2 linked regions of the Drosophila melanogaster genome follow. The protein of the gene in region 2 purifies or fractionates together with the protein of the main gene of each other region. This does not show direct contact. Each region holds a gene or a part of one and is shown on either strand. Other genes may lie near its edges. The genes, in order: Gale and Aldh.

What was found.
Region 1: the proteins of Aldh (region 2) and Gale purify together in Drosophila melanogaster (affinity purification with mass spectrometry, with the first as the bait; one large-scale study listed by BioGRID). This does not show direct contact.

What each region holds. Positions count from the first base shown.
Region 1 is NT_037436.4:646,286-651,830, reverse strand, and holds Gale (UDP-galactose 4'-epimerase), read right to left. Parts: upstream 3,277-5,545; 5' UTR 2,780-3,276; intron 2,653-2,779; 5' UTR 2,652-2,652; coding exon 2,412-2,651; intron 1,599-2,411; coding exon 1,308-1,598; intron 1,248-1,307; coding exon 726-1,247; 3' UTR 520-725; downstream 1-519. UniProt on the Drosophila melanogaster protein: Catalyzes two distinct but analogous reactions: the reversible epimerization of UDP-glucose to UDP-galactose and the reversible epimerization of UDP-N-acetylglucosamine to UDP-N-acetylgalactosamine.
Region 2 is NT_033779.5:9,385,413-9,392,110, forward strand, and holds Aldh (aldehyde dehydrogenase), read left to right. Parts: upstream 1-1,976; 5' UTR 1,977-2,355; coding exon 2,356-2,478; intron 2,479-4,416; coding exon 4,417-4,565; intron 4,566-4,627; coding exon 4,628-4,724; intron 4,725-4,833; coding exon 4,834-6,027; 3' UTR 6,028-6,155; downstream 6,156-6,698.

The sequences.
Region 1 (5,545 bases), on a different chromosome or scaffold from region 2:
CGCCAAGCTCCTAAGTGTAAAACAGATTGCCAAATACCGATACAAACAAACACTCCCAGAAACAACAGGCTCGAATATAAACAATTTTGTACTTTTATACGTGCAGACCATTCCAAAACCAAACAGAAGCAGCAGCCGAACGCAGAGTTGTTGAAAGAAACATACATTCATAGTACATACTTGTGATAAATGACTTTAACTGTGCAGATATGTGCGAAGAAGGCGCATCACTTAAGTTTAAAATTGAGTTTTTAATGTTATATTGCATTTGAATAAATGTTTGCTAAATAAATGTGCGAGTTAGACGTCTTCTTGTAACTTTGGTCAGCTTAATGTGATTATGCCATTTTTGATTAAGATCTGACAAATGGTTGATGCAGTTGTGTGTTTATTTTACCTAATGCCAAGTGTAATCTCCCAGTGCCACCTTGTCGGTGACCTTAATTACGTGATTGCGCCAATTGGCACGCGTCAATGATGCCAGCGGTCACCAAACGCGTAAATGACGGTCACAAAATTACATGACAACAGCGAAAAGCCTTTTTAATTACAAAGTACTTTGGATTACATACGCACACTTGCACACATCGAAGTGAGCGAATACTACACGAAATTTGGAAAGAAATATACACAACTAGAGGCAAATAGAAATTGCTACCTGAGCCATTATCAGGCGTAGTAACTCAGGAACTTGCGGAGCGGCAGGAACGTGGCGATATACAGCTCTACTTGTTGGCATACCCGTTTGGGTTCTGGCTCTGCCAGCGCCACGTGTCCTCGCACATCTTGTCGATGCCACGCTCGGCCTTCCAGCCCAGCTTCTTATCCGCCAACGTGGCGTCCGCATAGCAAGTGGCCACATCTCCGGACCGTCGGTCCACCAGAGTGTAGTTGACCTTCTTGCCGGAGGCCTTCTCAAACGCCTTCACCATGTCCAGCACCGAGTAGCCCACGCCGGTGCCCAAATTGTAGGCGAAAAAGCCCGTCTCCGCGATGTTGCGCAGCTTGTCCAACGCCTTTACGTGTCCCTCGGCCAGGTCCACGATGTGGATGTAATCGCGCACGCCGGTGCCGTCGTGCGTGGGAAAGTCGCTGCCGTAGACACTCAGGCTGGGACGTCGACCCACGGCCACCTGTGCGATGTAGGGCATCAGGTTGTTGGGCTCGCCGTTCGGATCCTCGCCAATCCGACCACTGATGTGGGCACCCACCGGGTTGAAGTACCGCAGCGAAACCACTGCCCAACGCTGAAAGAGCGAATTCTTTAGTACAGAACTTATGGACATCAAGAAATGACATCCTCCTACCTTGTCAGACTTGCACAGATCCTTGAGAATCTCCTCGGTGAAATATTTAGTCTTGCCGTAGGGCGATGTACAGTTGCCCGTGGGATGCTCCTCGGTCACGGGCAGGAACTTTGGCTCACCGTATACGGTGGCGCTGGAGCTGTACACGAACTTGAAGACATTGTTGTCGGCCATCGCCTCCAGCAGGACATTGGTGCCGGTCATGTTGTTGTGGTAGTACTGCAAAGGTATGCGGCAGGACTCACCCACGGCCTTCAGGGCGGCAAAGTGGGCCACCATGTCGATTTTGTGCTGAAAGGGATGTAAATATATGTACCTATTAGTTTGGGAAATCCAAATCTGTAATAACCAGCTCTTCAGTAAGCACAAGGATATTGCCTCTTATAAACGTAAAGTGCAGAATTTAATAGCAATTAAATGAAAGTATCACATTGATTTCAAGGTGATTTATTGACAAACAATTATGTGTTCTTTAAATAGCTGTTGATAGTGCTGATTAGGTAAAAAATTCCACCACAACAAATACTGCTCAATCTATTCAGTAATCAGTGCGCGTAAGCACAAAGCTGTGTGCATTTATGGTTGAATAAAAATATGAAAAAGTATCAGCTTAAGATATTTCATGGCTATTTGGGCAACAACGTGCATTTTTATAATGTTCATTACATGTAAATAAACGCTTTGTTTTTTATAAACGACGGTGGTTAACAAAAAAAACCCCTTTGATCGAACATCTCAAGAATGCGTGATAACCTGCTCGAATTAGCGAATTCTCTTGGTTATCAATGGATGTAAACACTGCAATCTGGGCTCCCGACCACCCAGATTGTAGTGTACGTGCCCGGGAGCTGTTGTGGATGTGGATGCCAGCGCACCAACTCGAATGCGACCTCGCCAAGTGGGTCTTTCATTCAGGGTCGATCAGCACGGCGGTTCGTCGGAAGTGCCCCGCCACTTGAGCAAACAACAAAACAAGCGCGAACGAGAAAAAAGCTGATAGCGCGCATGCCAGATAAGCTTGATTGAATGGTATCCAGTTGGCACATTTGCCCCAGAACCTCCGAACTGCTGACGTGCCAGCTATGTAATGCTACGTGTGCTCACCTCCTGGAAGACGGAGCGCACCTGCTCCCTGTCCGTGATGTCCACTCTATAGAAGTTGACCTTCTTGCCGGTGATTTCCTGCACCCGGCTGAGGGCCTCCGGCAGTTTGGCCCCGCTGCTGTAGGCGTTGCACAGGTTGTCCACGCAGATGACGTTGTAGCCCGCATTGAGCATCTCCAGAACCGTGTGGGAGCCAATGTAGCCGGCTCCTCCGGTGACCAGGACCGTGGGTGGGGCCATCCTAAGTGGCGAAAGGGGAAAACACACGAAATTAGGCCACACGAGTGCCCAGTTCTTATTGACGTCACCAAAATCGTTCGGCAGGCGTGCGAAATAGCCGTCTGCTTGGCGAAAAACGGGTAACTCACCTGTTTACAGGTGATTATGGTAGAGAATCCCCGCTCAGTGAATCAGATTGAGTTTAGCTAGACGCAAGAGACGTGCCCTTGAAACGATTCCGCCTCGGATTCCGATGCCTAAAAACAACGCCTCTGATCTCCGACGAGATTGCAGATGATGGTGTAGATGAAGATGCCAAAGATCGCTGACCGTTGAGTGCTATCGTGTGCTAACCCGTTTCTTGCACTCTTCCTCATTCATCTGTGTTGTCGTACGTCTGTTTTGATCTGCGGTCGCTGGCCAACTGAACTGGTGGCTCTCCACGGAGCCTATTTAACTTGTTCTCCGTTCTCCGAACGCGCACTTCTTATCAGTTTCGGTGGTTTGGTGGGCTCGGAGCTCTCCTGTCACTTTAATTCAAGTGCTAGCAGCAGGCTGACTTGGTCGACGGACGGCCGGGGTCACCTCGAAGTGCATCCTTATCGCCGCTGACCTTTGGCTCCCGATTCCATGCCCATTAATGCAATTTCCAGGTGCTCTTCACTTCGCTCTCCGAATAAAAGTAAACAAAGTGGTAGCGTTGCCACGCGACATGGCTCGTTCGACGCTGCCATATTCGCCGATTTTTCAGCTACCTGGCACAGTGGGATTCGTCTCGATAAATTTCTTGGCTGTCTATCGATATGAACAACTTAAAACAAGAAGTGCGCCCATATCGGTGTTTAAATGTGAAAACATTCTGGAGACGCGAATAGGGGTGGTAAAAAAATAGTTTTCATTATAAAGCGTATAAAATCACAAATCGTAATTAATTAAACATATGATAAGAGAATAACGCCAAATTCATAATGCAATGTAATTTTGTAACGCATTCTATCCCCAAGATAATAATCTTATATGATCTGGCATCACTGCCATGTGCTTCTGTAAAATTTACATGTAGATAAGTTGACATTTTACTTGACTGATAAACGGAGCAGATTCAAAATTAATTTTAAACTCGAAAAGCAAACGTTTGATAACAACAAACTTCAGTACAATGCGTACAACTACATCGTCATAAATAACTAGAACCGCAGTTCGGACAGCTTTTTGGTGACCCAAATTCGGTTCAAATCTTTAATGATAAGCGGAAGTGCATGTGCTCAATACGCAATGAAAAAGATCTCACAATGTTTACAACTTAATTGAGAATGTATTTGCGCAGCGACGAGTCTCTCAATGAAATGCGCCTGCTTTCGGTTCTGAATGAATGGAATGCATGAATGGGTCGAAAGCTTCGGAGCTTTAACCTAGATTGGCATTTGACCGGCTTTATCTTATGGTTTTTGGAGTGTCGATAATCGTTATTTGTTTGAATAGTTCTATCTCAGTCAATAAATCGTTTTTCTGATTATGGTTTCCGAATTCCATTTCAATTTATCGCTAAAAAAAATTGCGGCATAAGAGTCCCAAAATTAGAACAAACCGTAAAATACTGCTTCGGCATAATAATCTACATAATCATCTGGAAACGAATCGATTCTCGAATGCGGGAAAGCTCACTCGATAAGGAAGACGCAGTACATACATATACCGCAAGACCATGCTTACCGCACACCGCATGTACTACATACATACGTACATCTACATATATTTTGAGATTCTCGGGCGGCACACATATGTACATACTGACAACCGGAAATGAGTTAGTTGAACTTCCGGCATTGCTCGCCTCTGAATGGCGCTGGCCTGCAATATTTTTTTATGTGAGCGACAATAATTTGCACAGTCAGAGTCGCAGCCACAGAAACTGAACTGAAACAGAATTGGAAAGAGAAAGACAGAACGGACAAGTCTCCAAGTGGAAGTGGTCGATCCTAAAGCTACGTATTTGTACATAATGTGCTGCGGTCTAGTCTACATACATAAATATATATATATATATATGTATAGAAGCGAGCTCCCAATCCAATCCCGCCTGCACATATGGGGGAATTATCAGTTCGGTCCGAGAGTTGGATTGCTGTTATTGCTGGGGCTAAGGTTTTCGGGGGGTCTGGCCCGGCCCGTTAGCTATGTCCGTCTTCTTGTTTACTTACTGTACTTATATGTTTATTAGTATGTGATCTTTTATTTCAAACACTTTCCACTCCACGAATAGAATGCCAAACGAATAGAATTTCCTTGCTTACACTTATTGTAAATTTCGGTTATCCATCTTAATAAAACCAATTTTCCGCATTATTGTTTGTGCCCGATAATCATCTATGTATGTTCTGCGTTCCCTCAAAAGAGACCACCCCAGATAAGCACCGACTCTGGCACTTTAATTTGATCTCGGATCGGCAATGGGAAAATGAAGTAGGGAAATAGTGAAAGTGGTGCACTTTTCACATGGCCCAACGGAGACCGACTTGGAAACTGGGATCGCCCGGGCCACCATAAATGCTTATCACAAATTAAGCAATTTATACATATTTCGTGACGTTTTCTGGCAGAACCCGCATGGCCCGTCTAAAAGTTTTCAATTCCTAAATTGAAGATATGGAAAATTAAATTCAAAACGCACTTTTCTATGCGCGATCCGAAGTCGAGACTACATACATAAATTTATTACATTTATTAAATTTGTTACTTTGACTCAAAAAATTCGAAAAAATTGGACCACTCTTCTGAACTTTTCTGCCCACCTTTACTTAAGCTTATGACCTTAAGGATATTGTATTGTAACCTCATTACAAATTAAACTATATTAGAACACATAACATGAGAACCACCAATGCCACCAATATTGTATTGTTGAAATATATCTC
Region 2 (6,698 bases):
TCAATAACTACTTAAGTTGAAATACACATGTTTTATCATATCAAATGACATACTTAAATAACCTTTCTTAAGCATCAGAAATTAAATTTATTTATTCGAAAAGCTTTAAATGCGCTTCCATATTTGATTAATAAGATTAATAAGATTAATATTTCCCTCATTTATATTGTGAAATCAAAACAATGTTCTGAGTACATTTCCCTCTGGCCAGTTCAATTTCATTTCCCGGGAAGCACAAATATTACGTGTGTTAATTATATTCCCACCTCTGCTCTACACACCGAGTATCATACTACCACACACAAGCCAAACTTAATTTACGTAATCATCCATAAAATTGTGCAAGCGCAAGGAGCGACATCGACTCCCACCAGGCGTAATTAAATTCAATTGAAAGTAATTTCCAACAAATTGTTGTAAATTTCATTTTCGCATTTATAACCCACATATGTATGTACATATACTACATGGTACTGCGTCCAGCAATCAGCCATCAATGATGGCATTTAAGTGCGTGCGCCTGAGCCGAGCTGTCCGAATGCAATTTATTTTTTACGCCAAACTGTTTACTCTCGGTTATTAAATATTTCATGCAGCTGAGGACAGCAACCGCAGCGACAGCAGAATCATCAATAACCGGCACCGCCGCATAACAATTGCCATTAAAGTTTATTCGGGCGGTTTCGGCGTTGGTAATTGGGCCCTTCGGTGGGAAAATCGAGGGGAATGGAGCCGGAATCGACCAAATGTTTACTCAGCCTCCATTTCAGTTGCATGTGCTTTTCGGACGGAAGGGTGAGACGCATTGTATTGAATTAGTTTTCCGACTGTGATTGCTTTCGTTCGCCAGTTTTGGCCAACGATGCGTATGCGTGATTCTCTTGACAGCCGTCGCTAAGCTTTCAATTTACGAGTGAAATAAATTTCGAAAGATTTTGACAAATTGGCCTAAATCGCATTTAATGAATTATGTTGAAATAAATTTCGTCCTCTTTTCGCTCATCATCAATTTTGTGCTAGTAATATGGCTGACAGCCGAAAAGTATGCCATAGCCATTTTTATTATGCGAATGCTCGTGCAAGGGGATGAAAACGTTGAGAAGCAAGCGAAATAATGAAGAGAGACAGCAACATAATAAAAATCAAAGTAATGTTCAATAATAGACGAACGATTTCGGACATTTCACTAATGCATTACTTTAATTCAATAACTTTTGGGCAAATAAATTAGCGCAATTCTTTGTATTGTACCAAAATAAATAATAATACCTTATTTATTATTACTATACAAGTCTTGCTAGTTAACAGTAAACCATCTGGCGCATTCTGTTCCACAAGTTATATAATATAATTGTGAATACAAATTCTAAAGCTCATTGATTGATTGGCCTGATAACTGTTTAGATGTTACAATATCATTTGGTTTTAAATTCATTTCCTCCCATCGTGAAATTATAAAAAATAGCTAGTCATTCTAAACGAAAAACACAAAGTTCTGGAATATTTTTCTTTTAAGCGAAATCGTATGATAATTTATACCGTGGAGGTTTGCCAAATAAGCTACAAAAGCAATCTATAGTTTCATAAATTACTAAAGAGTATCTTAACGAGATAAACAATATTATAATAACCCCACCCGGCATAATGAAATCTCCACATGCAAATGCAATTTTATTCAAGTACTTTTCGTACTTAGTACTTAGTTATTGCGTTTAAGACTCTTTGTTATTGATTTCCTTCTCTTTCTGGTTTCCCTATTGAAGAGATTATCTATCTATCTCGCTCTGACTTTATCAGCACTTATCAGTGTTGGCAATGAGCTTTTAACTACTTTATGCCTATCTACTTTTTCTCTTAAAACCATCCCATACTAATAACTACATAATACCTCAATCATATACTTATTATGATTTTGCTCCACCTAATTAATTATATAAAACAAGGTATACTATGTGGAAATTCTTTTAAGTTATAAAGCCAGCTGTGTGTATCAGTTCAAACCGTTAGGTCACAAAAATTTTATTTATTTTAATTTAAAAAAAAAATTATTAAATTTTCGGTCTAAATTGTGTTATTGTTCTTTATATGGCTCCTAACAGTTAAAAATCTTATAGATAAGGGCGACCATATGTAGCTATTTTTGGCTATGTTCTTCTGACAGCACTTGTGGCGTGGCGCGAGTTCCCCTCTAGACACTTAAATATTCCTAAGTAGTTTTCGCGAGCGGCAAAGCTACGAAATCGTTTCAGTTGTCCGTCGACCGCTGAACAATTAAGACGCAGTTCTAGTTTTGCGCTCTCAGTACTTTTCTCTAGTTTTTCTATCCGGAAAAGTATAAAAAATAATCTATTCAAAATGCTGCGCGTTTTGAAGACCGGTGCCCTGCTGCGTTCCCAGGCCAAGAACTTCGCAGCAGCTGTTGCGAACTACTCCTCCCTCCCGCAGCCACAGACAACGCCCGATATCCTCTACACCGGGGTAAGTCCTAATCCTAACTCAAATCCAAAAAAAAAAAAAAATAAAAAGTGAAAAGCATTATAAATAAATTGCGGCATTTGTAGCAATCGCACTTGCAATCTGAGTAAAGAACTCAACAGGAAAGCAAGCATTTGACTTGTTTTTGAGCTGACCTTGAGGCGAGCAACTACAGCTGTTATCGCCCTAGAGCCCCTCCTCAAATACCCTACATATGCGAATCCAGTTTTTAGGTTCTCCGGTGTAGGTCTTCCCCATTTCGATTTTAACGAAAAGAAATTGGCAAATCAGCGCAACGCAAGCGAGTCTCACCGCATTCAGATCACGTACACCAAATGTTTATCGGCAGATGTAGGGGATTGTAGGGGATTAGGCTGCTTAAGCGAATCGAAAGACCGGCGACTAAAATAAATATACAAAGGCGATATCGAAAAAGCAAAAACAACAATCGCATATGTAGTTCGCCGGCTATTGTTGTTGTTATTTCTGCTTCAGCTTCTCATTGTTTGCCATACCCGGTTTCTTTGTTACGTCAGCAGTGGCGCTCGCACACGCAAAACAAAAATTTGTTTGCCGCAAATTCTCATCATTTATTCTTCTCATCGCCTCGCGCTTTCATTTCTTCTCTAGGGAAATTTGCATAAATTTAACCATTGTCATTTTTTATCTTTAGTGTCACCAATTAAAACTAGCGTTCGTTCGATTTAATTGAAAAGGAATTGCGGTTAGGAAGCGAGCCAAATGTGGTTTTTGTCCAGATGTTAAATGGGATCCAATGAAATTAGAGCAGTTCGTATATAGTAAACATTTTTGCAGAAAAAACTTGAAAATCCAATGTGCACGGTTTTTATTTGTCTATATATATTTCAGAATTTTTAAAGAAACTCCTAGCTTACATCGCTCTTAAACTGTCTTTAAATAATTGTTAGTGTTCTATGTTTTCCAAAAACAAGGAAGTTCTTAAAAATTTGTATATAATAAATATTTTTGCAAATGAACTTGATTTTCAAATATGCATGTCTTGCATACCAATATATTTTTGTTTTTAAGTCTAAAAATGAAATCTTGCATACCTCTTAAATTGGCTTAGAATAGCAAATAACATATATATAGACCATATATGTACATATATGCTGAACCCTAAAGCAAAATATTTCAATTTTACAAGAATTGAGCATTCGTCTATTTTGAGTGAACTGCATATTATGCAACCTTTATAGTACTTATACATATGCCATAATCTGAGAATCTGCTTTCATAACAAGAAATATCAGCCCATAATGTCTCGCGCACCACAAACGTTCTAATCTCTTGATTTATCTTATTGTATTTGTGTTTGTTGGCATAGGCAGTTTCCACTTCTTATCACCGGCAGCCCTATTATTTTGGGGGTCTTTACTGGGCGAGATAACATGGCACACTTATAAGATTGGCTTCCCTAATCGAACCAGTATTAGACTCGTCTAGCCAGACCCCCGAAAACTAATGCACACGTGCGTCGTCGCTATGTTTATATTTTGCTATGTCTGGCGGAAAGTTTTATATTCGCAAGCACATTGTGAAATTCAAAAGTAGATGTATGCAAAAATAAAAACAAAAAGAAATAAAAATGTTCTATAAAATAGGATGACGTGAGGGGTTGGACGCGAGGGCTCACTTCGTTTCAATTTTAATCAGTTAGCCGGTAAACGTTTTAGATTACCCAGACTGGGGGATTGTCAGATTCAGGTAGCCATGCGAACGAAACAATCAGTCAATTGCGATAGAGGAATAACACGCACGGCAGGCAATAATAACAAATAACAGCAGTCAAGGGCTTATCATATAGAGGAGTGGCTTGTTTGTCAATCCAACAAAACGATGTAAAATACAAATGAATTCAATAGAAGAGATTGTGAATATGATATGGCACTAATTGAAGCTGTTAACTACTTATTGCAGGTATTTATCAACAACGAGTGGCACAAGAGCAAGTCGGGCAAAATATTTGAAACCATCAACCCGACCACAGCGGAAGTCATTGCCGAAATTCAGTGTGCTGATAAGGAAGATATCGATATTGCCGTCCAGGCTGCACGCAATGCATTCAAGTGAGTGTGCAATTTGGATATAAATCGACTTTGCTTATTAATAACAACTCTATGATCACTAGGTTGGGATCTCCATGGCGTCGCATGGATGCCTCGGAGCGGGGTCGCCTGCTCTACCGCCTGGCTGATCTCATGGAACGCGATCAGGTCTATCTTGCCGTAAGTATCAAGAAATATTTTAATAATTCAAGGTCTTTAGTTGGAAGTTTAAAATATTAATATAGTTTATATATACTTATATGCTTATCAAAATTTAATTTTCCGACAGAGTCTGGAGACCCTTGACAACGGCAAGCCCTACAGCATGTCCTACAACGTGGATCTCCCGACTGCCATCAAGAACCTGCGCTACTTTGCTGGATGGGCGGACAAGAACCATGGCAAGACTATTCCCATGGACGGAGATTTCTTCACTTACACCCGCCATGAACCCGTGGGCGTGTGCGGCCAGATCATTCCCTGGAACTTCCCCATCCTGATGATGGCCTGGAAACTGGGTCCCGCTTTGGCTACCGGCAACACCATTGTACTAAAGCCCGCTGAGCAGACCAGTTTGACTGCTCTGTACATTGCCCAGTTGGTGAAGGAGGCTGGCTTCCCCGAAGGTGTGGTCAATGTGGTTCCCGGATTTGGAACTGCTGGCGCTGCCTTGGCGAACCACTGCGATGTGGATAAGGTGGCCTTCACCGGTTCCACCGATGTGGGCAAACTTATCCAACTAGCATCGGGAAATACTAACCTAAAGAGAGTGACACTGGAGTTGGGAGGCAAGTCGCCAAACATTATTCTGTCTGACACCGATATGGACTACGCCGTCGAGACGGCTCACTTTGGTCTGTTCTTTAACATGGGCCAGTGCTGCTGTGCAGGATCTCGTACTTTCGTGGAGGACAAGATCTACGATGAGTTTGTCGAGCGCAGCGCGGAGCGGGCTAAGAAGCGCACCGTGGGCAATCCCTTTGATCTGAACACTGAGCAAGGTCCTCAGGTGAACGAGGAGCAGATGGAAAAGATCCTTGGAATGATCAAAACAGGCAAGAAACAGGGCGCTAAGTTGGTTGCCGGTGGCAGTCGCCCAGAGGGCCTACCCGGCTACTTCGTCCAGCCCACGGTGTTCGCCGATGTCCAGGATGATATGACCATTGCAAGGGAGGAGATCTTTGGACCGGTTCAGCAGCTGATCCGCTTCAAGAAGCTGGATGAGGTCATCGAGCGGGCTAACAACTCCGAGTACGGATTGGCCGCCGCCGTTTTCACCAAGGATCTGGACAAGGCCAACTACATTGTGGGTGGCCTGCGTGCCGGAACTGTGTGGGTAAACACCTACAATGTCCTCGCTGCCCAGGCTCCGTTCGGTGGCTACAAGATGTCCGGCCATGGACGCGAGAACGGAGAGTATGCTCTGTCCAACTACACGGAGGTCAAGAGCGTCATCGTCAAGGTTGCCCAGAAGAACTCCTAAGAAGGACCAGATATTTCCTCCAAGAGGGACGCTTAATATGGTTCGCCCTACTTAGGTGCTCTAAATTCCGGCGATAATCTACATCTCTATAATGAACATAGTTTTAAATACATCTGTTTGATATACCTAACTACGGCCAGTTTTTGTATTTTTTCCATTCGGTTAGTTTTCTTTAAGTGTACATTTCTATCTAGTACATATGTAATGCAGCTATAAATCAGTGCAGGGACCTGGTCAAACAATTCAAAAGTTGTTTTATTTACGTTCTATCTTACTCCCCTTTGCCCTACAGAGTTTTATGTGTAATTCCAATGTTTGCCAATAGATTCTTGGCTTTGTTTATAGCACACTCTGAACTGAATGTCATTATTTTGCTTATCCCACAACACTGAGATAGGACAAACAAGCACACAGATACTTCCTCACAGCTTACACTGCACGAAACATTGATTGGTTTAGCATAGAGCCAAAAGCAAATGGATAAAGTGAGCAACCAGCACACGGAGCTCAGGGAACTAGCTTGCTCGTCCATCTAGGAGAAATAAGCTTACATTTATTTGCATTTATTGGCATTTTCCATCGTTTTGTTTTAGCCTCGAATGCCTGAGTGTGTGTGTTTGAATCTGTGTGTGGATTTCTGTGGCACTAAGACTCACATATCAGGACGTACT